Notamacropus eugenii: one gene and its partners. The protein of the gene in region 4 interacts with the protein of the main gene of each other region in a pairwise test. Links are inferred from orthologs where the notes say so. Each region holds a gene or a part of one and is shown on either strand. Other genes may lie near its edges. The genes, in order: NCK2, BYSL, NEDD9 and TRIP6.

What was found.
Region 1: the proteins of TRIP6 (region 4) and NCK2 interact in binary tests that used the Homo sapiens proteins (3 or more experiments, as listed by UniProt). The two-hybrid records come from large-scale screens. The link is inferred for Notamacropus eugenii from reciprocal best matches to the Homo sapiens genes TRIP6 and NCK2.
Region 2: the proteins of TRIP6 (region 4) and BYSL interact in binary tests that used the Homo sapiens proteins (3 or more experiments, as listed by UniProt). The two-hybrid records come from large-scale screens. The link is inferred for Notamacropus eugenii from reciprocal best matches to the Homo sapiens genes TRIP6 and BYSL.
Region 3: the proteins of TRIP6 (region 4) and NEDD9 interact in binary tests that used the Homo sapiens proteins (3 or more experiments, as listed by UniProt). The link is inferred for Notamacropus eugenii from reciprocal best matches to the Homo sapiens genes TRIP6 and NEDD9.

Annotation. Positions count from the first base shown.
Region 1 is NC_092877.1:200,902,498-200,910,506, reverse strand, and holds the start of NCK2 (cytoplasmic protein NCK2), read right to left. Parts: upstream 3,010-8,009; 5' UTR 2,919-3,009; intron 2,312-2,918; exon of another isoform or gene 2,175-2,311; intron 1-2,174. UniProt on the Homo sapiens protein: Adapter protein which associates with tyrosine-phosphorylated growth factor receptors or their cellular substrates. Maintains low levels of EIF2S1 phosphorylation by promoting its dephosphorylation by PP1.
Region 2 is NC_092873.1:102,945,144-102,952,777, forward strand, and holds the start of BYSL (bystin), read left to right. Parts: upstream 1-4,626; 5' UTR 4,627-4,853; coding exon 4,854-5,121; intron 5,122-7,634. Other genes in the region: MED20 (mediator of RNA polymerase II transcription subunit 20), read right to left, coding at 2,766-2,920, 4,171-4,364. UniProt on the Homo sapiens protein: Required for processing of 20S pre-rRNA precursor and biogenesis of 40S ribosomal subunits. May be required for trophinin-dependent regulation of cell adhesion during implantation of human embryos.
Region 3 is NC_092875.1:182,734,875-182,742,138, forward strand, and holds the start of NEDD9 (enhancer of filamentation 1), read right to left. Parts: upstream 3,008-7,264; 5' UTR 2,930-3,007; coding exon 2,918-2,929; exon of another isoform or gene 1,548-2,917; intron 1-1,547. UniProt on the Homo sapiens protein: Scaffolding protein which plays a central coordinating role for tyrosine-kinase-based signaling related to cell adhesion. As a focal adhesion protein, plays a role in embryonic fibroblast migration.
Region 4 is NC_092873.1:79,910,882-79,917,895, forward strand, and holds the start of TRIP6 (thyroid receptor-interacting protein 6), read right to left. Parts: upstream 3,008-7,014; 5' UTR 2,870-3,007; coding exon 2,764-2,869; intron 2,417-2,763; coding exon 2,334-2,416; intron 2,243-2,333; coding exon 2,117-2,242; intron 1,901-2,116; coding exon 1,523-1,900; intron 1,010-1,522; coding exon 910-1,009; intron 779-909; coding exon 609-778; intron 345-608; coding exon 166-344; intron 1-165. UniProt on the Homo sapiens protein: Relays signals from the cell surface to the nucleus to weaken adherens junction and promote actin cytoskeleton reorganization and cell invasiveness. Involved in lysophosphatidic acid-induced cell adhesion and migration.

The DNA of each region.
Region 1 (8,009 bases), on a different chromosome or scaffold from region 4:
GCAAACTGGGTTTTAGGAAGGGTAGGGATTGAACCACCTGTGATTTCATTAAAGTCAAATTCAAATAGAAGCCCAGGACCACTAATACATACAGAAGGATCGCTGGGGGCCACATATTAAGCTAACTTTAAAATGTAACACTATGTTTCACTGTATTTTTATTTTGTTAAATATTTCCCAATTACATTTTTATCTGGCCAAATTCAGCTAGGCTGGACAACTCTGGTGTAGGGAAGTCCAAGAGAAAACCTCCTCTACTACTTCTCTATAACTAAAACTGCCTAACAATGAATGGGGCAATGGTTTTGGAGTCAGGAACTGTGATTTGACTGAATAAACTCCTATTAATGCAGGCCAGCACCTTTTTCTTCAACTTAATCTTAGAGAGCTGCCCAGAAGCACTAAAAGTTTAAAATGACTTGTCCAAGGTCACATAGCTAGTAAATGGGTACAAATGAATGGGCTTCTCTTTGCCAACATACTGTATCTCAAGAAACTATGCCCAGTTTGCATATGCCCAGTTCCACCATGGTATAGTGAATAGTAGCCACAGACCCCAGAAATCCTAAATTCAGAGCTTAAGTCCTGCCTCTGACCTGTCACTTAATCTCCGGAAATTTAGGGAAGAAACAATTTTAGTTAAAGAAAAAGGTGCTAACCTGCATTAATAGCATACTCAATCATCTTTAATGTTTGGTTCAAGAATACAGGCTAGAATTCTACTAAGCATATCCCTTCTGTAACATTAGGGGGCTTTTTGTATCACACAGCCTCTAATTCTTCTTGTTTCTTGCCAGGTTTACATTCCTCCATCCTCCGGAGCAAGTTAAAGATACTGGTCTGTTTGGAAATAGACTAAGAAATTAATGAGCATGTGGAGACGCTCCTCTCAATGTGGAAAAAAAAAACCAGTTTATTCAATCAAACCACAGGTCCTATCCTTCCTGACCCCCAAAATGCCCCATGCATTGCCTCCTGGTCAGTATCTGTAAGTCAGCTATATTCTCAAGGATTGTTAGAAAACGCGATGAATTAACCACAAAGCCAGCGACATGGAGATATGTCGTGTCCATCACAAGCTGGATGAAGTTGTTAACATGCCTGGCTCCTTTATGTCAGGTGCTCAGTATCCACAGCAGAAAGACGTCAGTTCCTCCAGCATTTTTACAGTTTGCCCATTAAAGTGCTTCGCAAGTGAAATCCCTCCACACGACACAAAGTAAGTTGTGTTTCTGGGCAAGTTGGGAGTTCAGACCCTAAACAATAAGGGAATTTTACACGGCAACTGCCTCCAGTAATAGCAGAGAGCGTAAAACTATGGAGAAACTTGAGTCCAAGTAACAAGTAGGACTAAGTCGTCTGGATAATGTGGCCCAGGACCACGTTCCCGAGCCTCTGGCAAACACCCCCTCCAGGAGGGCTGGCAGTAAGGCGGTGGGCACTGCCAACACAGGGGCACGAGAGGGGAGGGACGCGGCTTCCTCTCCATCCCCCCGGATCGAAGGGTCTCGTTCTCTCCCCCTAAGGAGCTCCCCGGCTCGGGGGGGGGGGCGGCTCCGGCATCCTCCCCGGGGGCTCCGGAGCTCGGCGCTTCCTGCCACCACCCCCAGCCCGGACTCCCGCAGACCGGAGCCCCATCGGCCTCCCTTCCCTCCCCGACAAGACCTCCACCACCACCTCGGTCCTTCTGCTTACCGCCCGACAAAGCGGAGCCCAACGCCCGTGCGTGCCACCCCCCGCGTTCCGCCCCACCTCCGCGCTCCTACCCCAAGCAGAAGCAGCCCACCGGTCCGTGCCCCCGCCCCCACCTCTCCTCCTCCCCGGGCGCCCCACGCACTCCACCTCCAAACAGCGACACCCACCCAGGAGGCAAAAGAAAGGAGGCAGGAAAAGCGACCGCCGGGTGGGGATGAAGGGGCGTTGAAAAGTGCAGATGCCTCCGCCAAGGTTGGGGTGCGGGGGCTCCCCGGGCCCCCCTGGGCACCAAGAGAACCCCGCTCCGCGCCAGCGCCCAGCCCGTCCGCCTCTCCTCGCGGGAAGGGGGCGCCCCACATCAACTCCGCTCCATCAGCCCAAGTTTCCGGCGGTGCCGGCACCCCGAGCCCGCGGGCTGTCCCCGTCCCCAGCCCCGCACGCGCGCGCGGAGCCCCTCCCCATCCCGGCCCGGCTCTTACCTCCGGAGCGGGGGCGGCTGAGGGGGAGGCAGAGAGCTCGGCTGCGGCGCCCCAAAGTCCCGGAGCCGGGGAGGCCGGGCGGAGGCGGAGGCGGAGGAGGCCGGGCTCCCCGCCGCAGGAGGCTCCGCTCTTTGTCTCCTTCCCCTCCGCCGCCGCCGCTGCCGCTCCCCGCCCCCCGCCGGCGGAGGCGGACTCTCCCGGGGCCGGCGCGGCCGCCGCTCTCCTTCTACTCCTCCGGCTACTGCTCCTCCTCCTCCCCGGCGGCCGGCAGCGCGGCTCCCAGGCCCCGGATCGCTGGCCTCTCAGGCGTCCTCCCGCTCCGGTCCGCGGCTCCCGGCCGGACCAAGCCCGAGCTGGCGGCGGCGGCGGCAACCCCTCCCCCCATGCACACAACTCCCTCCTCCTCCTCCTCCTCCTCCGGCTCCTCTTCCTCCTCCTTTTCCCCTCCCCTTCTCCTCCTCCTCCTCTCCTGGCCGCCGCCGCCTCCTCGGCTGCTCCTCCCCCGGCCCGGGCTGTGACGCGGTGGGCTCGGCTGGAGGCCTTCTTCCCCCCCCCCCCCCACTCCTACCCTCTACTCCCCCACCTCGCTGCCCTTCCAGGCTTAATGGCACTTGCAGCCGCCCGCCCGGGCAGGGCTCTGCTGGCACGCCGCTGACCCCGGGGCAGCCGGCCGGGGAGGGGCTGGCGGGGATGGTTGGGAAGGGGGGCGCGACCCCGGGCACGGCCTCGCCCCTTTGCACTTACGGAGTTCTGGGTGCCTGGGCCAGGGGGGCACCGGCAGCCTTCCAAGCGGGGATGCGCTCCTCCAGGCAGAGAGAAGTCTGCCGGAGCCCCAGTGGGGGCCGAGGCCGGGGTGCTCCGAAAGGCTGCTCTCACTCTCTCGCCTTCTACCTCTCCCAACGAGAGCCGGGTACAAAAAGACCGGCGGGCTCTACAGCAGGAGGGATAGAAATGGTTCAAGGACTCCTCGGTGAGCTCGGGAAGGTGGCACGCCGCTTAGCGATGGGCAAATACCGCCCATCCGCGGTGGTGGGTAGACGGGGTGGAGGGAGAGCCGGGCTCCCTTGCGACCTTAAAGTGCACGTGCGTGTCGTTGGGGCAGGGAGCTAATGAAAGGAAGGCAGTTATTTCTGCCTTTGACAAAGGGCCCTCGTGGGGGGCCTTTGTTATTTCTTTGATTTCTTATCCAGATACTAAAGCTATTGAGTGATTACCCATCCACCCACCCAACAAAGCCCCAGAGAAACTCGCAGGAAAGAAGGCCTGCGATGGATGACGGTGAAAAGTCTCCCTTTTCCTCCCTAAAGTTGCATTCTGGGGATATTTGCATGTATTTACTTTGACCACAAAATACGTTTTAATTTCAGGTATCCCTCCTGGAAACAATTCAGAAATGGAAGAGGCAAAAACCCGGCCTTTGTTGACTGTGCATCATCTGTTTAATTCAGTCAGGTTCTGATAGTACAGTCTATTGCTGTGAGGCAGATAGCAAATTATTTAAATGTCAGGTCCCACATGAAATTGTCATCTGTGATGCGATTGGTCTTCTCCCCCTATAATAAGTTATGGTTTGCCTGTAAAGAATTCCCTTTACTATTTAACAAGCTTACAGCAACACAAGTTTCACTTTTCACATGGACATCCAGGTGTCTTCTCTCCCCCAAAGGGCTTCCACCAGGCATATAGCTAATATTCTAAATACTAAGCCCCTGTACTCAGTTCAAAGGAAAGCACTCTCCTAGATCCTTGTAAAAGCAACGATAACCTCCACTACTATAGGTAACTTGGTAAAACCCAGCTCGGAAGAGTCAGAGGTCTTTTGCCTATTGTCTGTGTCATTTAACTGAGTAACTACAGTTGTCTAATATCGGTCCTATTCTTGCCGTCTCAGCATCTCCATTTGTGATCTCTGTTTTAGTGTTAAAATCTACCTTTTATCTGTAGCTCTGCTTCTGATTCATGTTTGCCTAGCTGTGGTGCAAGTCAAAGGTGTAACAATGTTTCAAAAAAATTTGATCTGTTAGGTACAGTTTCAAGTTTGTTTTGCAAACCTTTGATCTCACTGCCTTTATCTTTTTTCTCTTCAAATTGGGGACGGAGGGAGATGGGTCTTCATTGTGTTCTCATTCTTGCTGTAATCCCCTACAACTTACATCCAGCTCCTGCCACTCTACTGAAAACTGTTTTCTAAATTCCCCAAAGTCCAGTCCTCTTTTCTGTCTTATCCTGCTAACTCTGAATTGTGACACTTTCTCAAAGCCTCTATTCCTCTAAATTATTGTGGTTTGTGTAATACCTCACTACCCTGGATCTTCTACTTCAGAGCAGTTTTTCTTCACCTCCTTTATTTTTAACAACCAGCCTTGTTGGTGGTAAACCACACCTCATCCATATCCTCTGCCCCTCTGATTGGAAGATGAAGCTATAAATCTCTCCATTTAAGGAGTGGAACAGGACTGACATCTCTTCAGATATCTCATTTCCCATCTTAATCACTCATCTTGGCCTTCTTTGACCTCCACCATACCCCTTTTCCTTCCTTCATAAGTCTCCCTCCACTCCCTTTTCAACTTTCTTTTGTGTGTTGTTTCCTCCCATTACATTGTAAACTCCTGGAGGGTAGGGACTGTCTTTATACTGTTTGTATCCCCAGCACTTAGCAGGGTACCTGGCATATAGTAGATGTTTCATAAAAGTTTATTGACTATGAACTCCTCTCCCTTAATGGTACTTAATCCTCTTAGCTCCAAACTGTGGTTTTTTTCCTGCAACCCCCTTTTCTTTGTCTCTTTACTTTTCTCCCTATAAACTCATTCCCTCCTCCTCCCTCCTACCCCAAAGTAGGGCTTGCCTGTCATACTAGTTCTAGCTTCATAAAGGACATCTCCAATTACATGTAATATCATCTCTTATGCAATACATTGGAAATCATCTTTTGCCTAAAACCAGTTCTTCCCAATTTCTCTATTGTCAGAGATACCCATACCCAATCCCTCCACAAAGAAACTTTAGTTTTATCTTAGACTCTTTCTTTGTCTTTCATATCCAAATTTCCATATCTGCAAAATGAGGAAATTGGACAATATCATCTGTAAGCCCTTTTCCAGTTCCACCGTCCAATCAAATATATAAGTAAATTGTGGGATTAGAATTAACCTCAGAAATCCATTTCCACTTCTGAAATATTAATTATAAGTTCATCAGTTCTTTCTTTAAAATATCCTTCAATTTTGCTTTTTTCTTTCCATTCTACTGTCTCATCTTTACCCAGTCTCGTCATTGTCTTTTTGCCTCAATATTCTTGCCTTTTTGAAATCCATCAAACATAGTCATGGTATCGTGACTTATTATCCTAAAATACAACTTTTGTTTATATCACATCCCTGTTTAAAAACCCATAGCAACTTTCCATTTCCTCTTATGTCATGTCTAAATTTCCTTCAAGGGCAGGGACTGGCTTACTTTTGGATTTGTATCCTTTGTGCCTGATATATAGCAAATTATGTCAATGAAAATCATGAAGTACCTACTATATCCCAGCTGGGATACAAAGAAAGGGATTAAAAAAAAAAGCAGCCCTTGCTTTTAAGTAGCTCACAGCCTAATACCAGGTTGCTTATTAAAATCTTATTGATTGATTTTAAGACCTACCTATCCAGTTTCTTTTCTCCCTAACATTAAAACGTTGCCAATTTCGTCACAATTGCCTCACCACCCCCATCCAAGCCATGTTTACTTCCACTTCCCATGCCTTTGTATATGTTATTCCCCAATCTGGAAATCTTCCTGCCCTTCAAGGACCATCTCAAATTCTTTTTTTCTCCATACATGACCCTTCTTCAACTACTCAGATATCCAGTAATTTATTTTCAAATCTGTATTACAGCATTTACTTGATGCATGCTGCCACTTTGCTTCTTTATTTCCTACATCTATGCTAATAGTCCTCTGACTATATTATAAATTTCTTGAGGGCAGGGCCCATCACAGTCTGAGCAATGCTGAACTCCTGATAGATTCTCATTAAATCCTTGCTGTTTTAAAATAACGTCAAGAGGCACCTAAGCTTTCATTCTAGCTTCGCTAACTGGCCCCTAAAAACGGATGGGGTCACAGAGCTTAAGTTTTTATTTATCTGTGTAAACTTAGAGGAAAAGGCTAAAAAGAAATCTTCAATCATTAAACACCTTCCTCCCACTATTAAAGGACAAAAAGGTGGCAGGATTGGAGGGGTTTTTTTTTTTAAGCTAGAATTGTCATATCATTTTTGCAGAAACTCACCCACTTCCACTGCAGATGCTAAAGCAGCTTGGGGATCTACACAGTTTCTGTGACTTACTCAGGGTCACATAACCAGTATGTTAGAGGTAGGTCTTGAACTTATCTTCCTGACTCTGACTTGGTTCTCTATTAAATGTTGGTCTTGGACCCTTTTTTTTTTTTGGAGGCATTTGAGGTTAAGTCACATGCCCAGGCTCACATAGCTAGTACAGGTCTGATTTGAATTCAGGTCCTTCTAACTCCAGGACTGGTGCCCTATCCAATGTGTTTCCTAACTGGCCCTTGGGGGCCCTTTATATAAGTCAAAGAATGTAAACTACTTGGAGTAGGGATTGTTTCATTCTTTGTACTTGTATCCATGGCACATAATAAACACTTGTTGATTGATTAATTGGTTTTAATGATATGTGAAGATTGAAGAAAAAATACAGTTACAAAAAATTTAAACACATATAGCCAAATAAAACTCACAATACTGTTCCATATGAGTTCAATGGCATTTAATTACTATAGGTTTATGATGTTTGGGTCTTTAGTAAGACTTTATTGGTTGAATTATCTCCTTTCCAAGAGACAAGGAAAAAGAGGTGTAGAAAATCTCATAAAAGTTGACTTCAATTGCATAGGAAAACAAATAGGGGATTGAGCATGTTTAAAAATTACTCATTCCCTTTCTATGTTTATGCATATATACCATGCTGCATAGTAACTATTGACTTCTATTTTTGTTAAGGGATATGAGCCATTTTTAGTTTCCCATACATCAGTTTTAAAATGACATGTCACATTTAGTAAAGACATTTTCTGAAAACTAAGAACAATGCAACCCTGAATTACTTTTAAAAGTATTTACTAGAGACAAGTGGTAGAACAAAATTATTTTATATTGGAGTTTTGTGGGGTTTTTTGCAAAATCTCATAAATAGCCATATTGGTTATTGCTAATTTGCAAGATGAAATTTGCCTTTATGTTAAAATCACAGAGGGAAAATTTCTTTGTCAAATCTAGTTGGAGTCCACTTTCCTTTTTTAATATTTATCACTTCCTAAACTGTGGGTCACTACCCTATATGGGGTCGTGAAAAATTTGGCAGTGGTAAAAGGTTTCTGAACACTTGATGACCAAAAATTAATTGAAAATGAAATGCGTAATGAATTCGAGTTGTTTCTGGTAGTACTTGCCCTGTTGCATTGTGCACCTTCACTGCAGCTTTGGTTCTGAACACAAAGCATGGGCACTTTGCACTGTGCATTCCCTCAGGCCATGCAACACTGTCACAAGAAGTCTGCAGTGGAAAAATTTAAGAAACCCTGATGGAAGTGAATGTAACTGAATCGTTTTTTGATAATTCATCATCTTAAAGTACCCCAGTACTAGTGTTATTAATATTGATCTTAGCAACTACTTACTCATATAGTGCTTTACAATTTACAAAGTCATTTTATATCCAGAAACTGCCTAAGAGCGTTGAAATGCCTAACCAAAGTCACATGGCTTATAAATGTCAGAATTCTGACTTGAACCTGGGCCTCTTAACTCCACTGTTAATGTCC
Region 2 (7,634 bases), about 23 Mb from region 4:
ACCCTCATCTAGAACACCGCATTTGGTTACGGGTGCCAAAGTCTGAGAAGGACATTGATAAACATAAAAGCTCCAGAGCAAGGCAACCAGGAAGGTGAAGGGTCCCTAAGTTCATGTTACGTAAAGATCAGTTGAAGAAATTGAGCATGTTTAGCTCAGGAAAGAGAAGGCTCAGGGGGAACAAGGTAACTACATTTAAGAGGCCTGAAGGGCTCTCATGTGTAAGTGGGACTGAAATTTATTCTGTTTGGTCCCAAAGGCAGAATCAAGAACAAAGGATGCAAGTTGTAAAGAGAAAAATTAAGACTTAATATCAGGAAAAACTCCCTCACAATTAGAGTTATCCTTGAAGTGGTACAGGTTATCTCAAGAAGTGGTAGATTTCCCTCCCTCACATGTTGTCAAGCTGAGGTTAAACAACCATTTGTGAGGTGTGTATAGTAGAGATTCCTTTCATGCATCGTTAGATTCTATGGGCCACTGAAGTCCTTTCCAAATCTTAAATTTATGATTTTGGGAGACGAAAATAGAAAAGAGAAGAGAAAAGGCATTATGTTTTAGCGGATAGCAGCCAGCTCTCAAGTCTAGGAAGTCTTACTTCAAGTTCTAACTCGGACACACTACATGAGTTACCATGGACAAGTCACTTACAAGGTCCCAGGCAACTGTTGAAGACTACAAATTACAGACAGGTGACTAATCTGTATCAGCAGTGGGTGCTCTCCACATTAATGAAGTCATAGGTTTGGATTCCTTCCCAAAGTTCATCCTGTGGTTATCCACCTTCTAGTGACAGATCCTCTCTGATATGAGCTAGACTGGAATGGGTATGAAAGACATGCTATCTACCACCAGATGAGTAGTCAAAGCCTTTCTAGTTTGGGAAGACTACCAGAGCTCGGTAGGTTATATTACTGGTTATATTTGCCATGGTTTTTCCTTTAAAATGTTCATTAAAAAAATTAGACAACAATGAAATCAGGTATCTTCATAGTCAAGGCTTAAGAAAATTCCCAATCAAGCAACAGATACAAACAATTACAAAAGATGAAATTGTCACTTTCAATTACATAAAATGTAAAAGCCTTTACATGAACAAAATCAAAGTAACTGAAACAAGAAGGTGAATCATTAATTGGAGAGAAATGCCACATTTAATATCTCTGGATAGAGGTCTGATATCCAAGATCTATATAGGGAACAAAGATATATAGCCACTCCCCAAAACTATTCCCCAATAGATTAAGTGGTTTAAAAATGAGAACAGACTTCAAAAGAATAGCAAACTATTAACCACAAGAAAGATTACTTCAAATAATAAGAGAAATGCAAATGAAAACAACTCTAAGAATCCACCTCATACCCAGCAAATAGGTCAAGATGCCAAAAGATGGGAAAGATCAATGTTGGAGGGGCTTCAGAAAGACCTGGATACTAATACTATATTGGCAGAACTGTGAGTTACTCAATTTCTGGAAAACAATTGAGAATTATGCAAAAAAGGTGTGGGTGCTAAAAAATGTCCATACCTCTTGGTCAAGAGACCCTACAGATAAGCCTATACCACAAGGAGGTCCAAAATGGAAAGTCTCATATTATACCCTAAAATATTCATAACAGAATTTTTTGGAATAGCAAAGAATAAGAAAACAGACACCAATGGACAAACTAGGGTACATGAATGTAACAGATTATTACACTCTAAGAAATGAGAAATATCAAGAATTCAGAGAAGCATGGAAAGAGTTGGAACTGATAGAGAGAACTAGGAATTCATTTTCACTTCCCTCTCATCCTCAGACAAATAGGCAAAATATACACAAAGTTAACAATGTAAACAAAAAGACCAAGACGAAAATAAAAAACATGAAACTAAATGCTATGTAAATTACAGTAACCAAGCTTGGCCCCCAAACATAGCTTCCTCTCCTCTATGTATAAGTAGGAGACTGTGGGCATGGACTATATAAAACGATTAGTGACAGTTCTTTTGCTGAACTGTTTCCCTCCAACATTCTTAAAAATTTTCTTTTTTTCACAAGAGATAGCTTGCTGGGCAGAGGAGAGTGGGTAAGGTTATAATTCAAAATGAAGGCAATATAAAAAGAGATAAAAAAATAAGCTTTAAAAATATTTTAAGTAAGTATCTAGGTTTTGCCTCTCTAGTTCAATTGTGAAGATTATCTTTTCTAAATATCCTTTTACATGTGTATACCACTTAACACTTTTCAAAGCACTTTCATATCTCATTTTATCTCCAAAACAACCTTTTAAACTGTAATTCCCAATATACAGCTGATGGAACAGACAAAAGATTTGTCTAAGCTCACAAAGCAAGTAAGTAGTACAGAAAGGACTACAATTTAAGGTCCCACACCCCCTATTCCTAGTGTGTGGGTCTTTTCATCATTTCTACTTTTGCATTTTAATTCAAACCATTGGTACAGAGTTTCCTTCCCACAGAGTGGACAGTATATTGAGCCTCAGTGAATGGCAAAGGAAGTGGCCAGAGTGATAGTATAGGGAGTTCCAAGACAGGAAACAAACAAACAAAAAGTGTAGAAAGATTTCCTCTTGGTTCTCAACCTTTAGACTGAAAAAAAACACCAAAACTCTTACAACTGAGCGTCAGGAGTTCAGAAATACTAATGAATAGCCTTGAGCAGAAAACTGTCTCAGCCAGAAAGATGTCTAAGGACATTAGCATCTGGAGAATCTACTAAGTCTGAGCAAGGTTCCAGCTGTCCTACTTACCACACACTGACCTTGGCTGCCCATGGTAGAGGCCGCTGTGTGGTAGGTCTCACAGTCCACGCAGAATGTCCCCTGCTTCTCTGCCCCTAGCAGTTCCAACTTCCTGGTCAGGATCTCCACGGTCTGCTGGACACTCTTACCCTCAGCCACAGGCATCTGGGACACACTAGAAGGGTAGTGATGAGCCTTCAGGGTCCACATAGATGTGAACAGGCTCCCCCAGCTTCTCATTCAGCAAAGGAAGCTGGTAGCCCCAGATCCCATCCCAGCCAGAGTCCCATCCCTGCTGGGAGATGCCACTGCTCATATGCGAGAAGCAAAACACTACAGGCAGTCTGTGTGTGGCTTTGGCCCAAATGAGAATTCTCCAGAAAAAGAAAGATAAGGATATCCTAGGGATCACACTAAGCATATCATTCTCCCAATGCAGCAGATGTTTCTCGTTTTCTGCTTTTTACCTAGTTCCCTTTGCTGTCATACACCTTTCCCCTCACCATGCCAAGTCTCAGAAAGAGATTACTGATTGAACTCTGGGGACTACTAGCTGGCAGTCAGTAACTTGCAAGTGCCAAAAATAACTCTAGAAAGGAAAGGTCTTCACAAGCTCTCAGATGTGGCACCAAAAAGTTGTGCCCTTATCTGATACCTTCTTCGGTCAAGAAGCATTTACTAAGCACTACGTGTGAGTTACTGTGCTAAGCGCTAGAGGGATACAAAGGAAAGATAGGGTTGACAATGACCCCTCAGCCCCAGATGTGAAAAGCAGACCACCAGGGCACTGTTTCTCCTTCTCCCTCTTCAACATGATGGGTTTTCCAAGCCGGGCCCAACAGCCTTCAGAAGCTGGCTCCTTTCTCCCCCTTTCAGTGCCAGGGATAATGCTCCCTCCCGCCATCCCGGGAGGATGGTGATCAAACTCTGGTCAGGCAGGAGATCCCGTCCCCCTGGTCCAGCTCTACTGCGGGGTGTCTCGGGCTGGAGGTCGGGCGAAGGAAGAGGAGAAGCTGAAGCCTGCCACTCAGTGACCTCCAGGGCTTCCTCCCGCCCTTCGCCTTCCCCTAAGAACAGGGAACTGCCTTAAAGTCTCCCAGAATCTCTAAAAACCTACAATTAAAAAAAAAAACCTACAAAACCCAAGCGTAAACTTCCCCCCAACACACCCACACCCCCACCAGGCCTGCAGCGCCCCCAAAGCGGGGACGGGTTGAGAGCTGGTAGATGGAAGGGCCTGACTCACACCCGAGCCCAGGCATCCCGCCCCCACCCACTCATCCCAACAAGACCGGGAAAGGAGAAGGGTCGGGAGGAGGCCTCTGCGGGGACGCAGCGCCTTCTCCGTACTCCCTCGCGGTCCGGCCCGGGTGCCCAAGGAACTCTGAGACCTCCCCCCTCCACGTGCAACATTCGCGGCCCTACCATGTCACCCCCATGCTTCCAGGTCGCACGGGAGTGTGTACGTTGGAGGAATCCGACGCCGCGGCCTCGCCTCTCCCTCCGCTCTCCCGCAGGAAGCCCCACTTCCAGGCCTTGGTGGGAGGTGGACGGAAAGACTGTAGGGGAGAGAGAAGGGGGAGGGGAGGAGGAAAAAGAGGAATCCGGAAGTGATGCATTAAGTCGGGCCTCGGAAGTGACGTATAAATAAAGCGTCTCAAAGAGAGCACCAGCCGCGGAGTTGCCAGGACTTGGGCGATCACCCCGACTAGGAGCTCCGCCCACTTTCCCCACCCTAGAGTAAGGCGGGAGGTTTCTAGGAATTGACTCGCGACCTAAATACTCATCTCTGGAAGACAGAACAAATCCAAACCAGGGCTACAGCTACAGTGGGCAACTACGAGTCCAATTCACATAACGCGAGCCGTCGTACGGCGGGGGCCCCGGGAGGGGCCTGGTGACGTCTAACTTCAGGGGGCGGGGCCGGTAGGGGGGGCACCGGAAGCTGAGTTTCCGGCCTCCGATCGCTGGGAGGCGCTGTGTTCCGCCAATGGAGCTTGTCTTCTAAATCTGGGAGGTGCAGAGAATGACGCGCTGCTTGGCGCCGGCGCAGTCCATATTCCTGCCAGTTCCCCACGTGTGTTTCAGAGGAAGGGGTGGTGGAGACCATGCCCAAGATCAAGTCGTCCCGTAAGGCCGGAGGGCAGGCAAAGCATGCCCCTCTGGCGGACCAGATCCTGGCAGGGGACTCCGTACGGCCCGGAAGCCGGGAGAAACGGAGGGACCGAGGCCGCGGGACGGAGGAAGAAGAAGAGTACGTGGGGCCCCGGCTGACCCGGCGGATCCTACAGCAGGCGCGAGAGCAGCAGGAGGAGCTAGAAGCTGAACATGGCTCGGGTGACCAGACAGCGCCGAGAAAGCCCACCACGCGGCTGGGTTAGTGAGGGGGTCGAAAGGGTCCTGCGGGAAATAGGGGAGGGGGAGGAGCCGAGAAACTGAAGGCGGAGCTTCAGGGAAACTTGTGGGTTAGTTACCTTGAAAGCACACTCGCTAATCTTCCACCTCTCCCTGTATACTAGCTGCTTTCTTACTGCCTACAAACATGCACGCGTCTCCCTTATCCTCAAAAAACCCCCACTTGAGCCTTCCATCCCCCCCTCCATCCGACTATATCTGACTCCCTCTCTTCTGCAGAATTTGAGCAGTCTGTTTACAATAGGTGCTAACTTCCAATTAACCTTCCTCTCATTCAATTCTTTGCAATCTGCCTTCTGATCTCATCATTCTACGGGCCCTGATCCCTCCAAGGTACCAGTTATTTCTTACTTTGCAAATCTCTACAGCTTTTGACACTGGGTCGACCTCCCTCTTCTTCCTAATACTCTATTTTCTATGGGGTTTTGTGACACTACTGTCTTGATTATGTCCTGGTTCAGGGTTGGGGAACCTGCGGCTTCTAGGCTTCTAGGTCCTTGGGTGTGGCGTTTTGACTCAGTCCAAGTTTTACAGAGCAGATCTTTTTATTAAAGGGATTTATTCTGTGAAGTTTGGATTCAGTCAAAGGGCTGCACTTGAGGACCTAGAGGGTCACATGTGGCTTCGACGCCGCAGGTTTCCCACCCCTGTCCTGGTTCTTTTCTGCCTGACAGTTCTTTTGCTGTCTCCTTTGCTGGACATTCATCCAGGTGAAGCCATCTATTTGTGAGTGTGCCCAAAAACCCTGAACTGTTCTGTCTTATTCTTCTCTATTACTTTATTTGGTGATCTCATCAGTCTCTGTTGATTCAATTATAGTCTCTTATCATACATATGATTCTTATAGAGTTTTTTATCCATCTCCAACTGACTATTAGACATCTTGGTTGGTATATCCCATAGACTCCTCAAAGTCATTATATCCAAACCAGAACTTGTTAGCTTTCCTCTAAAACCCTAACTTTTCTATTACTGTCAGGAACCTAAGAGTCATACTGTACTCTCTTCATTCTTTCTCATCCCACTATTTCCAGTCAGTTGGCAGGTCCTGTGGATTCCATCTTTGTAGAAACTTCTGTATGTTCCCTTTTTTCCTCTTGACACTACTACCCTCCTGGTACAGACCCTTATCACCTCATCCTTGTCTATTGTGTAACCAAGTCACTCCCCAGGTCAGTCCGTCCTCCACCAGAGGTGTCAAACTGTTCTTCCTAAAGTTCAGATCTCATCATGTAATTGTGCATTTAGTAAACTTCAGTGGGTCTTTTATCTCCAGGATCAAATATAAATCCTATTCAGCTTTTAAAGCCTTTCATAACCTGACCCCTTCCTACCTTTGCAGTCTTTTAATATTTTACTGTCTTCCACATACTCTACCATCCAAGGATTCTGGTCTTCTTGCTGTTCCTTGACCAAGACACTCCATATCTCTACTCATCTTTTCATTGACTCTCCCCCTTGCCTATAATTTTCTCCCTCACCTCTGCCCTCCTGGCTTCCTCAGCTTCCTTCAGGTTTCAACTGAAAATCCCACCTTCTGCAAGAAGCTTTTCCCAATTCCCCCTAAAGCCTTCCTGTTGTCTTCCCATTAGATTGAGTTCCTTGGAAGTGTCTAATGTTTTTGCCTTTGTATACCTAGTGCTTAGCACATAGTCTAACACATAGATGACACTTAATAAATGATCATTAACTGGTGACTCAGGCATGGAGGCGCATAGGCCATGAGAGGGAGAGGGAACCCAAACAATGATGTTCATTCATTTTCCTTTCCATCTCAGTAGACTTCTCAGAATTTTGCACCTGCATAGGATCTTAGAGGACATCTGATAAGGGAAAAGTGTCAAACATAGCATTTTTATTTGTTTGTTTACATCTATTGTTTAGTTATCCTTTTCTCACTTTTCAGCCCAGACCTCTCTGCTGCTTTTACTACTACTACTGACCACCCTCTCCTCCTGGATAGTCTCTCTTCTTTAGGTTTTCAGACAGTTTGTTCTCTTGCTTCTCCTACTTCTCTGACTCCTTTGCTGGTTTATAATCCATAATCACACTACTTAACTGTAGTTATACCCCAGTAGTATGCTGGTAAATGTTTAACAATCAGCTCTTCCACATGCTTTTAAGCTTAATCTTCATAATTAAGTTTTCTTCATATCTTAAATCTAAATAATCAGCAAAAAAGTAAATCAAGCTCTCATTAGTAGCATTTGCCATTTTCCAAGGTATAAATCCTTACATTGAAAATCTAACAGTCCCAAGAATAGTTGGGGCTGGCTCCAGTACATCCCTAGTGTACCCCAAGACTATATCCTGACTATGATCAAATTTTGTGATCAAAATTACCTGTGCCTGTTCACTTAAGCGTTAGCTGAAATAAAGTGAAAATATCTCTATAGAGCAGACAAAGCATTTTTATACATTTACTATGTGCCAGGTACACAAATGACTCCTAAATCTCTTTATCTGACTCCAGT
Region 3 (7,264 bases), on a different chromosome or scaffold from region 4:
AGGTTTTAGAGTTTTTTTTAAGTAAGGGGAAGGAACTGGATCTGTAATTTTATCTATATAGGGAATTCCCATTGAAGAAACTCCCTTTACTCTCGCAGGTTGACAGTTTATCTGTAATTGTACTGAGCTGCCTGGGTCATTAAGAGGTTAAACAATTTCCCATGGTCAAATGGCTGGTATGTTTCAGATATAGGATTTGAACACAGGTTTTCCTGACTCCAAGGTTAGCCCTCCATCAGTGCTGTCATAACTCTTTTCTGTGTATATATACAATGACAAGATTCTGGATCCCATTGGTGAGTAGAAATCTAAGTTCTCCTTCTTCCCCAAGGGAGCTATCTTGACCCTGTGAGTACTTAGAGCTAGGCTTTGATGGACGTCAGCCCTCTAAAACTAAGGGAAAGGAAAAGAGGAAACCAGGGAGTAGAAAGTATATTTCAAGTTAGCAAGAGGCTAACTTGAGAGAAACTGCCCCTAAGGATGAGGACGAGTTGTTGAATGGAAAAATAGTGGTTTGAAGAAAAACCATCATGGAAATGGGAGCCAGGGTTGTAATAATGGGAAGTGGCCAGCACCAATACAGGCCTCAAAGGCAGGATCCAGGTGCCATGAAGCAGATCTAGGCAAATCCTATTTTACTGGACTGTGCCGCAGGGGCAGTCATAACTGGTGGTGATTACTTGCCACTAGACTTAAATGGCCCCCCCCAGCTCACCAGTGTCTTCTGTTGGAATGTTCATCTTGCATTCACTGTGACTTTGAGTGAGAGGAAAGTCTTCTGCCAAGCTCAGCACAGCGCTTTTACTGACAAGTGAGCTTGAGGCATCAAAATGCCTCAAAATATCCTGACACCAAGATTGGCCTTAGAAAAATTGGGCATCAATAGAGCCATTTGCAGTAATTGAGGTCCACGTTGAATCTGAAATCCAGTGAATTCTAAATAGACCTGCTTATTCTGAAGAAACTCCTTCAGTAATGAATAAGCGGAATGAAGAAGACATTGATCTACAATTGACATTTTGTGATATTTTAAAATGTTTTCTGCTCTGAAATGTTTAAGGATTATTGAAACCTTCTCCTTTCCCCTGCCTCTCCATTTTCAGGAAACCTGGAATCTGTTCCTGAAGCTTATGTTTGATTCTATAAACCTGATTTTCCTTCCTCCTCACCATGTCTTCAATTGTCTTTTAAAAAAAAAAACTGTCACAACATTGTTAACCATATCATTAGGGACTTGTTTTTCTTCACTAAAATGTATCAGAGAGAGCAAAAGACCAGGGGTTGGGGGTGGGGTGTTGGAGGCAGGTGAGAATGAGGGAGATAAATTTTACAATTACAGGGCTATTTCCTGGCCTATAGGCTCAGAATGAACAAAAGAGAATTGTTGATTCAATTTTATAACTTAACTGATGCAGAGAGAGAAACTTAAACCTGAATCATTATAGGTAAACTCGTCAGCAGCTTTGGTTGGGGGAGGCTAAGATAAAATTCTGGTATGGGAGGTATATCTTGACTCCTTCCTTTTCCACTGTTTTTTCCCCCTGTAGGTATGGCTTATAAAGAAAACCAAGTCATGCCAATGGGGTGAAGCCAAGGGAATAGCCTGAGAAAGTAATTTCTGAGAAGAACCCAGGGAATGGCTGGAAAAGGGGAAATCAGATTCATACAAAGGTGAAAGGTCAGTGACAGGGAATGACAACGCTGCCCCCACACCCCATTAGCTCAGCCTAACATATACTACCATTACCACTACTGCTTGAATAGTATAATATATATTTTAGTACTAGGAAGTTAGTTTTCTTTTTTGAAAATAAATTTTTACTGACATCTTTCCTTTTTTACATCTCCTAGGCTTCCTCTTAGGTAGCTAGGTGACAGAGTAGATAGAGTGCCAGGCCTAGAGTCAGGAAGATTTGTTTGAAGATTTGTCTTCAAATTTGGCTTCAAACACTTACTAACTGTGTGACCCAGAGTAAGTCCCTTCGCCCTGTTTGCCTCAGTTTCCTTATCTGTAAAATGAATTAGAGAAGGAAATGGCAAACTACTCCAGTATCTCTGCCAAAAAACATAACAAAACCCAACAAACCCTAGATAGGGTCAGCAAGAGTCAGACACAGCTGAAATGACTGAACAGCAATAGCCTTCCTCTTGTATATCTTCTCCATCTAGAGAGTTATCCCTTATACCAAAGAATTTTAATAAAAAGAAAAAGAGTAGAAAAAAATCTGCAAAACCAATCCATACATCAAAGGCAATTAACTTTCAATTATCCATAAGGCAGAAAGCTCATATAACAGACCTTAACAAAGAGTCTACAAATCCCATCACAGTCAGTCAATCTCATTTCTCACCAAACCATTAAGCATTACTGACACAACACTGTCTGTCCTAAGTAGGAAAAGTGATTGAGAATGATTTTTGTAAGATATGACCCCTTCTTCTCCAGGACTTTGTTTAATGATCAGCAATGAAATCTTGTGTTCATCCCCAAGGAAAAATAGAAGAATAAAAAGTAGGGGAGACATCAGAGATCCAAATCATTCCCAACCTGGGGAAATTGTTCCCTGAATAAGGCTGCAATATTTAGATGTTTTTAGCCACTAGCCCTAGTTCATGGATTATTCTTGAAATATTTCAGATTATTCCCTGTCAGATTTTAGAATGGAAGAGGCATTTCTCCTGGCATTGCCTTGACCATCCAGAGAATTCTCAGATTTGTTGTCCGTGTTAAAGACTCATCACAACAAAGTCTCACTGCCTAGATCAAAATTAGTCCTTTTATTCCAATATTACCTAAAAGCCTTGGTGGAATTGAGAAAGTAGTTTGCATTATCATTTCACTGATATTAGTACACCTGTTGAGTCAACATAGATAAGTAGTACTTAAATAAAATATGTCTGTCCAATCACAACTTACTGTTTCCCACATTTTTCTCAGTTCTTCTCTTTGTTAAATCAGGGAATGATGGGGCTCTGGAGTAGGAAGCTAGTGACTCCAGGGTTTCAATTCAATTACAGATTTCTTCTTTTTCATAGCTCCTCAAAAAGCTTCCAAAAGCAGGTCTCATGTTGGGGTGTGGGGTCATAGAAATGATCATCGATGGCTCCTGAAAAGAAAGATTGAAAGCTTGAAAGTGGGAAATAATAATGAAAATAATAGTTTGTTTTTCCATAGAATTTGGGAGTTTTCAAAGTGCTTCCTTCTCCCCTCTTTCTCTAATAGAATGTAAGCTCCGTAAAGGTAAGACTTTCTTCTTTGAACTCCCAAAATATATCACAGATACACCTGTAGAATACTTGGCACATTGGGCAGGGGGAGGAAAAGTGTAAGCAAGGTGGGATTCTTTTTTTCTTGGAGTTCAGTTTCCCAGGCTTATACTAAATTGTAAATATCTGAAGGATCAATCTCCTTTGAACCCTGGTAATTCATAGCTGTGCTGAGTAACAAAGGTTTGGTGCCTTCTTGCTCTGAGCTTATTAGTTAAAAGGGTATATATATACATATATATATATATATATATACACACCCTTTTATACATATATATGTATATGTACATGTATGTATACACACACACACATATATATGTTCTGAGGCAAGATACTACCTTGGGGGGGCTTGCTCATATAAGGATGTTTAGCCATTATTAAGGAGCCCCCCCAGCTGTGAATGTGAATCACTTATCAAGGCTTGAAGAGGAGACCTCTGATAGAGAGAAGACACCTCTGATACCAACCCTTGTGAGAACACTGAAACACTGGACTGGAATAAAGTACCAAAGGAGAGTGTGGGCTTAGTGAGACTGGATTAGTTATCTGTTGTTTTCTGGTTAATGTATTATTTTGCTGTGCCCAGAGCCCAGACTGGAGTAACCCTCTCCCCATGTGCTGGAGGAAGATAAGCTGTCATGGAGTTGGGGTGGTACAGGCCAGAGTACCTGGACCCAGGCAAGAGCAGGTAGAGCTTGGAATGGAGCAGTCCTTTTTCCCATGAGGTGGGATATGGAGCAGGAGCAGGGAGCTGTCTGCATGTGAACCCAGGCAGGATCCAGGAGTGGTCGGACCCTGAAGGAGGAGAAACTCCTCTGTTCACAAATTAGCCCTGTGTCAAGATGGTGACTTTACAACAGGACAGGAGCAGTGAGTATGCTTTCCTGCCGTGTGCCCCTGGGTTGACTTGGGACCCAGGGAAGCGGAGTTGTCTATGGTGGGATGGGGGAAGTGCTGTGGTCCCCTGGGACCCACCCTGTTGGCTTTCTCCCAGCTGCCCCTCAGGACTTTGAAGCGGAGACTGGAACAGTGTTAGGATTTGGACTTGGACTCTCTGGGCTCATCAAAGCATGTGTGCACCCGAGAATGCCAGGTGGGAGCCTGCAACAGCAGTGTGGAGAGAAAGACATACCCCCCAGAGGACTTGTACATTTTGTTCTGAATTGAGGGGATCATAACCTATTGTGACCTAGGGGTAGATGGTGTTATATTTTCTGCTACCACTGGGGATGTGCTGTGTAAGGGAAGACCTTGGCTTGGGATCTCCTGATTGTATAACGCTTTGGTTTCTTGAATAGGATTTGGTTTTGAGTAAATAGAGAGCTTATTACTTTGCAATTCAACCCTAAATAAATATACAAATATATTCACAGCACCTGCCCTCGGGTGTGTTGCATTGATTGGCATTACAGGGGGAAACATAGTAAATGCATGTTGAGTAGAGTAGAATTGAAGTAGGTCATTGCAAGATTTCTCATATCCATTTAAAGATGAGGAAACAAGCTCAGGGAGAAAAGTATACTTGCCTGTATTGACACATTTTCCAACACTTGGGGATCTTACATTTGTTGTATGGGACCATAGTTCATTTCCTTGGAGAAACAAAATCAAATGTTGTGTTTGTTTGTTTTGTTTTTAATCAGACCTGTGATTTCATTAGTGTAATGAACTCCAGAGAAAGAAAGCCTCTCTACTAATACAGGCCAGCCTCTGCTCTGAAATGTGTAATCATGGAAAATTACCTATGAAGTTAAGTGCCATGCCCAAGGCCATATAGTCGTTATGCTTGTAAGGAAGGGAAACTCTCCACCTCAGAGACATGATTAGGTTTTAAAGGCATGTGAACAGGATTGTCTGCACTGTGTGATTACTTTATCCATGTGAGAACTCTTTTGTAATTGGGTGGAGAAGTATACAGTATGTGTAATTAACCAGAACAATCTAACCATACCCCTGGGGGTCTTTAAGTAGCTGGAAAAATTTTAGCACTTGTCCATTAAAATAGTGGACTGGTCTAGTGGTAGAGGATTTCATTTCAGAGGATTCCAGCCAGGCTCTTCTCTTTCTCTCTTCCCCATCCCCTACACTCTCTCTCTCTCTCTCTCTCTCTCTCTCTCTCTCTCTCTCTCTCTCTCTCCCTCCCTCTCCCTCTCTCTCTCAATGACCATGTTAATAGCTAGATGGGATAGTAGCATCTAGAGCACACACTGGAGGCAAACATGGCCACATGTATATAGAGAACTAGCCAGCCAGCAGAAGGATGAAGCAGTTCCAGGGAACATGACCTCTTGTACTGGAGAAGAATGCTGACTATGGACTCAAGGAAGGACTTCCAGTAATTGAGAATTACAAGTTTGCTCTTAATCCACGTGTTCTCTACATGTGTGGCTTACCATCATCCTACTCTTCCCCTGGTCTCTGTGTATTTGTGAGAGAATGTACCACTAGTTAGGTGGCAGAGTGGATAGAGTGCTGGACCTGAAGTCAGGAGAACCTGAGTTCAAATCCACCCTTAGATACTTGCTAGTTGTATGACCTTAGGCAATTCCCTTCACTTCTATTTCCCTTTACTCCATTGAGTGAACATCTTCCACGGATGTTGTGAGGATCAAATGAGAAATCTGCAGTGCTTATCATAGTGCCAGACATACAGTAGGTGCTTAATAAATCCTCCCTCACGCCCTCCTCTTCCTTCCTTCCTTCCTTCCTTCCTTCCTTCCTTCCTTCCTTCCTTCCTTCCTTCCTTCCTTCCTTCCTTCCTTCCTTCCTTCCTTCCTTCCCTCTATAAATACCCTTTCCTCAAAGCTAATTGAATTTCGATGGCTGATGTCAATGGGAAACACAGTTGTGGAGTGGGTGAACAACAGTAGTAGAAGTCCAGCCATTCAGAATTACCCTTAGGGCTCTGAGCATAGTAGCAGCCACCCTCTAGGTGCAAGTTGGAATTGGGGAAGGAACCTCAGAGGGATTACACTATGTGTCAGAGACAGAATTTAATCAGGTCTTCCTGATTATCTCCCTACTGTGTATCAGTGTTTATACAGAATCTAGTGTTTCTTCCTTTATCTTCTATTGTTACTTAGTTGTTTTCAATTGTGTCTGATGCATTGTGAGCCCATTTGGGGTTTTCTTGGCAAAGATACTACAGTGCTTTGCCATTTTCTTCTTCGGCTCATTTGATTCACTAAGTCAAACATGGCTAAGTGACTGATCCAAGATCACATAGCTGATGAGTGTCTGAGGCCACATTCGAACTCATGTCTCATGACTGTAATCTCAGTGCTCTAATCACTGAGCCACCTAGCTGTTTTTATTATCTATCCTACTGCAATGGCTCATTTTATTAGAGCAGATTAGAAAAGATTGGGTCTTAGAGTATATGAGGTCTAAGGGAACTTTGAAGTCAACTAGTCTAACTCCTTTATTTTAGAAGTGAGGAAATTGAGGTGAGTAAGTGAAACGAATGGTCCAAGGTTAGATGCTTAGGAAACAGCACCACCCATACTTGAACCCAGATCTCCTGATTCTCTTGTCCAGAGCTCTTTCCATCACCATATGCTGAACATCCTATAAACTGGAGGACTCAGTCCCGAGGATGATTTACCCCATTCCCTTCTCATTCTTCCTCATTTAGAGGGATGCCTTGAAGTGTTCGCTCCTGTTGGCTTGAAGCCCCCAAGCCCCAGCTGAGCAGTCTGTCTTGCACGGCAGTCAGTGAAGGTCACACATGGCTGTCTGCTTTCCGTGTTTCCTACAAATGAGTAAAACTGATGCTTTGGCAAAAGTTTCTTCAGACAGCTTAGATGCAAAGTACAGAAGTTGCTTTTTCCTGGGGAAGAAAAATTGACGGAGCTTTTGGTGGATGGGTGCTGGCCAAGGTTTCATTTCCCTTTAGCATTGTGCTTCAGGTTTTCTTTTCTTTTTGTCAGAGAGGAAGGAGGGGAAAGGAGGAGGGGGGAAGGAATGGTTGGGTAGGGAGGGAAATGGCACAGACCCT
Region 4 (7,014 bases):
TAAAAATGAAAGGTTGGACCAGGTGGCTTCTCAAGTTTCTTCTGACACTATATGATTTCTATGATCCCTATGAATGGGGTAAAGATTTGGGGGAATGGAGATAGGGGAATGGAGTTGTTAAGACCACAGAGAAGGAAAGGCTGAGTGAGCAGGGATCATCAGGACCTGTGGAAGTCTTCAATACAGTGGATCTGGCTGGTGGCATCCACTGTGAAAGGAATGCCATCAAGACCTTGGTGACACACAACACAAGTAAAGCAGCCAGGGTGATAGGCCTTCCCCATGGCCCGTAGAATCCGGTCCAAGATAGGCTGGGAGCACATGGAACACTTCTCCAAAGTAGCCTGTTGAAGAAGTCCCACAGTCAACTTTCCAGTCAAACTCCCTGCCAGAACCCAAATGTCTGGATCCCCAGCCTCCCGACATCTTGACACTCAACTGAGTCTCAAACCCTATAGGGAATAATCTGAAGACATGTACCTTACCTGGCATAGTCCACATTCAGACCCAGCTGCCCTTATGGACTAAATTATCTACTTCCCTAGCTTGGCAATTCTTTCCGATCCCAAATCTTCCTTCACTCTGAACCTTGGCTTCCTGTCACTTACCACATAGCAGCCTTCACAATACGCCTTTCTCTCCACTGCATAGAAGTGCTGGCCCCGGAGCTGAGCCCGGCATGTGGAGCAGACGAAGCAGCCAACATGGAAGACACGATCGAGGGCAATAACCCCAGCACCATCCCCTACCACGTCCTCCCCACAGCCCCCACATCGGCCTAAGGAGCAAGGCAGGGAGTGGGGAGGGGGAGAAGGGAAGAAAGAAGAGAGATTCAATTTTAGTCTAGAGAGTACCAGAACATCCCTGCACCCCCCTCAAAAAAATGCAGATGTTTAGAACCTGGCTCACCAAAGTATTCCCCACTGGGTGGATGGTTCATGTCATGTACCAGCTTCTTGGTTAGTCTCTCCAGCTCTTCCTCAGGGGGAGCCCTGCTGGGGGCAGCCTGCTAGGGGGCATGGGAAAAGGGGACCAGAATGAGACTCAATCCCCTCTGTCCCCTGTCCTGCCCCCAAATCTCCAAGAAGGAGGAGCTATGTATTGCAGAGAACCACATAATAATAAAGAACAGTTTACAATGAATAGCACTTTAGAATTTCCTAAGGTAGATAAGGCGTATGATTATCTTCATTGTAAAAGAGGAGGAAGTTGGAGTGAGGGGATTTGCTTAATCACTCAGTAAGTGTTAAAGAGCTGGAGCTCACATTTGGGTCCTTTAGCCCCAAATCCAGGGTTCCTCCCATGAGAACCAACTGCACGGTCTCTCTCATCTTCAAACACAATAGCCAAAGAAAATGGAAGAACCCAGGCCACCTTGGTCCCTTGAGTGGCCTCTTTCCTCTCTCCTAGCCACCCAACTTTCCTTTAAGGGGTTTTGCCACCCCTACTGTAGAATCACTCCCACCCATTTCCCATCAATGGCCAGTCTTCCTGGCTCACCTTGGGTATACATCCTCCTCACCTTAGGTATATATCCTCCTGTTCTTCTTCCTCCTCTTGGGCCAGAGGCTCCAACATTCTCCTCTTTGGCCCTGAGCTCTCTGTGCCCCTCATAGGAACCCCCCCAAGACTCAGCCCAACTGGTTGAAGGAGGGTAAGGAGCTGGGGGTGGGCTAGAGGCCTGAGGGACACCCCGCCAGGACTGACCATACCCCCTCACAGGCTGAGCCACCTTCACCTGGACCGGGAAGGCAGGGCCAACTGGAGTGCTGGCTGTGGTATAGGAGGCAGGGGTAGGGCCCCCATAAGATGGGGCTGGAACCCTTGGTGGAGTGGTCACTCCTCCACCTGGTTTCAGGAAACCTGAACGGTAGGGAGGGGGCCGAAGGGGCTCGCATGCCTAAAAAGAAATAAAGATACCATAGGATGAGTGGGATCTACCTTGACAACTTGGACTTCTTTCATGCTCATATATTATGACACAACCCAAAAGCCCTGGAATGGAAAAGGTTAGGGGATTTGACATCTTGTAGAAGTTATAGGGGAAAAGATCTTTCTGTTTTCCAAGGGTATGTTATTGCAGAGGCAAAAGAGGAGGATTCTGGGAGGGAGTCACCTGTCTGTCTGGACGACATGGGGCATGGCCCCTACTGCTGTCCAGGTCAGCCAACATGTTGGTCAGTGAATCTATCTCTGCATCCAGACTTCCTAGGTGTACGGCTCCCCTGTCTGGCCGAAGCCCCTGTGGTCAAGAAGAAATGAGGAAGTTTCTGGACCCTTTTCCTGGGAACCCAAACATACAGCCCCCACCTCAAAATCCTTCGACTTCCCACCTGTATGCTTTGGGAGGCTCCGGGGCATCTCCCCAAGGCTGGTGCCAGTTCTTCTGGTCGGCCTGAGCCCTGATAGCCTTGCTCTGTTGGGAAATGGTAGGAACTGCCTAGACACGAAGTGGGCTTAGGGCGCTGGTTAGAGGAGGAAGACCAGGAAAGGGGAAGAGAAAAGCAGGGTTCCAGGAACAAGGGAGGGAGGGCGTGGGGCCGATTCACTGCTCCCCGAGGCTTCCTGTCTGCACAGCCCAGGTGCTAAGAGAAAGGAACTGGGAAGCAGCGAGACCTGCTGGGGCGGGTGGGGGTGGGGCACGAGGGTCTGCAGCAGGGGCGTAGGAAAAGCAAGGGAAGCAGCGGGCCCGGAGGAAGCGAGGACCAGGGGGGCATCGGGCACCCTCCACTCCCTGGGTCCTGGGCTGGACGTGCCCGTTACCTGCTCCGTGGGCCGAGGGGCCGGGAGTGCCCCGCACGAGAGCTCGTGCCTGGGGGAGCCTGCTCTGCTCCGGCTGCTTTGGGGGGAGCCAGGTGGGGCCGGACATGGCAGGCAAGGCGGCTCTCGCCACGAGTGGAGGAGCGCGTGGGAACTCCGCGGTGGCGTTCCTCCGGCGCCCACGGAGGTGGCCCCCTTCTCTGGTCTCCACCCCGGCTCTGGCTCCGGCTCCGAGACAGAAGAAACTTTTTCTGCCTTCTCTTTTTTCTTCAACATCAATTTGGGGGAGAGCCACGCCCCCAGTGACATCACCGCATTCCTAAGTGATGAGGATCACGTGGCGGCCCGAGACGCCTCTGCCCCTCCCCCCGAGCCCCCAGCCCCTCACCGACTTCCCCACGGTCTCCCTCTGACCAGGCCCCCTCCTCTAGCTCCACTTTCTGGGGCTTCCCCGGGAAGCTGGGGATGGAGGCTGGGGGCAGGGGGCTGAGGTCCTGCGGGGCTGGGGGCTGGGGGCTGAGCCTGGGCTCAGAGTTGAAGAAAGAAGACCAAGAAAGACCTGGGATGGCTGGGAAGGCTCCATAATAACCCCACACCTTTTTCTTTGGATTCACCAACTCACCCACGCGGGTGGCCCCCGCCCCTGGCTCTCTACCTTGCAGCTCACACAGCCTGCCACGCTTCGCCCTTGCATTCCCTCCCTCCACTGGCCAAATGCTAAATAGTACTGAATAAATAGTAACTGTTTCTCTTTTACCTAGGAACCCCGAGGGTCTTCTCCCAGTTTGTTTTTGGTTTTTTTTTTTATTAAAGGGACCATCCCTTGAGCAACTACTTAAAGAAGCGCATTCATTGAATGGGTGTGTCTCACCCAAAGTGAGAATGTGGTAAGGCCTTAGCCTGAAAGGGCCAGGGTCTCCCAGTGCATCCTGGGCCATCTCCAGCTGTCCTGATGAATGTCAGGCCACTGGACCCAGATGGCTCAGGAGGAGAAAGTGAGGCTGGTGACCTTGCACAGCCCTGCCTCCCTCAAATCAAAGTCAATTGCAAGGCGTGTCATCACCTTGATGTCAAGGTCCTCTTCCAGAAGGACAAACACAACTGGTCAAGTAAAAAAAGGAGTACCAAGGCTACCCCAGCCCAAGCTGCTTTCTACTTCCTTTTGAAATGGACATTATTCCCCCCGGCTCCAGAGCCCCTGGGTTGAGAAATGTCTGTTGAGTTTCTAGGCAGGGTTGGGCCTAGTAGCCACTTACTGTTAGTGGCTACACTTTCTGTTGTACCCCTTTGCCTAGCAGCTGCCTGCGCCCCCATCTCTGTTGTACCCCTTTGCCTAGCAGCTGCCTGGGCCCCCCTCTCTGTTGTACCCCTTTGCCTAGCAGCTTCCTGGGCCCCCATCTCTGTTGTACCCCTTTGCCTAGCAGCTGCCTGGGCCCCCCTCTCTGTTGCATCCACTTGCCTAGCAGTACCTAGGAACCCCTGTCAAAACTGTTCTGTGAAAAATGTGAGCTCTTGGAACCACAAAGCTGTACCCAGAGGTGCTAAGATGCTTAAAAGGCACACACACCTTTGTTCAGGGCTGCCCCCTTAGAGGACAGCTGCCGGCTAATAAAGACGCTCCCAGATTCTCAATTAACTCTTGCCTGTGCTTGTCTTGGTCTGTCCATTTCACCTTTCTTTAAAAAAAAATACATTATATGCACACACGCACATATATATATATGCACATGCATACTTACACGAACTGGTAATCTGCCCTTCCCATTCTTGCCCTACTGAGCAAAAAAATAAGTAAATAAAACTGTCTTCATACGTGTACAAAATAAATTCCCACGTTGGCCATTCTTGAAAAGTGTTTGTTTCTGCTTTTTAAAGTCCATCAGTTCATCCCGTCTTTGGGTTTTTCCTAAACAATGCTACTATGTTTATTTTCTTCTCTGTGTTGTGTACGCAAGCTATTTCACTGTTTGATTTCTCCTGTTTTAAACCATGACCAAATTATTTTAATGATTATTGCTTTGTACTACAGTTTGAGATTCAGCAGGATGTAAAATTTTGGGGTCTTCTCTTTATAACGGTGGCATTGTATAAGTTGTTTTTCCAGTAGTGCATCTGTTCATAGATGTCATCTCAGTTTTCCACTGAAATTATCAAATTCTCATTTCTTATGGCACAATAATATTCTGTTACAGTCAAATACCATAATTTTCCCCCCCATAGGAGGAAAATCTCTTAGTTTCCAATTTTTGGCTACTAGATCCAGTCTAAATATTCTTATATAATTAGGTCCCTTTCCACTCTCTCTCTTGCTGAGCTATTTAAGATATAGGCCTAGTGGTGGTACAGCTGAATTGTGGGGTATGCACTCCTTTTATAACTTTCTGGGCATCATTCTGATGGGGTATAGGCTCTGGGAGCCCCCTTGAACTCTCCTTGAATCTTCCCACTTGATCTGGCATTCACCTGTCTATAAACCTTTCATTGAAGGTAGCCAAAGGGGTCTCAAACCCATTGGTGAGTTAGGGGGGTGTCTATCCCAAACATGTGAAGACTTCCCCTGGTGGATTGGGCGGATGAGAACAATTTGTTCCAACAGCCACGAAGGCAGTTCAAGCAGGCAATGTGGAGCACTTAGAGCTTGGTTAGACACCAAAGACACCAAGGTCATCCATTGTATCCTGAACCATTGCTAGTCATCTTGATACTGTCCTGCCACTGGACTATGATGACTCTGGAGGAGAGAGTGAGTCTGACAACTCTGTGCAACTCTGCCTCACTTAAATCCAATTTACACATGAATCAAAAGATATCACCCTTACTATTTTACTATTATACCTCAAATTCCTGTGGCGACAGGCAAGTGATTAAGCAGGAGGTGCTGCTGGGAGCTATAGTCACAACCCTGCACACAGGCGGCCCAGGCTGTAGGGTCGTTTCTCACTGGAAGCAGCAGTGGGACTTGGCAGCCTCCTGGTGTCTGAGCAGTCTTTTAAGGATCTCACTGCTCACCTCCTGGTGTGACGAAGGAGGGTAGAAAAGGTGCCCTAAAAATTGTCTGCTTATCCAACCTTGGCCTGATCACCACGGCAGGCAGGGAATCCTACTCTGCGGTGAAAACATAAAAAAATGTACAAAATGTACAAAAACATCTGCAAAGATGATTCCACTCACCACTGGCACATGGAACATGTGCACACTTAGAGACAACACAAAATACAGTAGACCTTGAGTGTACCAAAGTATGGATCAATTCTCTGCTGCCTGTGCTAATTTTGGCCTAATAATTAACACCTGTTGGGATTGGAAGCTCAATTCCGTGTGGACAGTCTCGGGCGGGTAAAGGTGGGAGCTTCTAAATCTTAGAGCTCTCACGAGACCCTCCCAGGAAACGGCAGGGAATAGAGGTGAACCGAGCTAGCTCGGGTATTTCCGCCTCTCCCCATGAGAAACGTGATGGGAGAGAGATCTCCCCGCCCTCGAGATGGTCCCGGATCTGGGCACACTATTGTTATCTAACAGCATGGTATTTAGATGCAAACTATGCTGCTGGAGAGTTAAGTAGGATTGAGGAAGCCTGAAAGCTCTCTTAGCACGTGAGGAGCCAAGAGGACAGTAGGCTCCGCTTCTCTTCTCTTCTCTCTCCCCTCCCCCTCTCTCCCCGCTTGTACTTCTACTTCCAATCCCTTAAGATCTTAGCCTCCTTAGGAAATCTCCCCCTCTTCCTCCTAAGGAAGACCCCCCTGCACTTGTAACTAGACCCTGAAATAAAGCTCAACCCTTGTTCGACTCTGGAACGTCCTTTCTCTCATATGAGCATCCGGTTTTGGCCAACTGAAGACCTCGGAGGTGAGGTAAGAAGACTCGGGTAGCCCACACAGGCCTCTAGGCCTGGCAAACACCAAGAAAACAGGTACTTCATCAGCCGCCACCACACCATCTATATGTGGTACTATTGGTTACAACAAATGGAGAAGTCTTGAGTACTGTGGATAAGTTCACTTACCTTGGTGGTGTACTTCCCAGGGATGTACACATTGATATTGAGGTTGACAGACTCATTGCCAGAGCTAGCTCCGTGTTTGAGAGGCTCCAAAGAAAAGTTTGGGAGAGAAGAGGTATTAGCCTGACTACCAAACTGAAGGTCTACAGAGGTATGCTGACCTCATTGTTATATGCTTGTGAAACATGGACAGCCTACCAGCGCCATGCCAGGAAACTGAATCGCTTTCATTTGAACTGACTTAGGAAGATTCT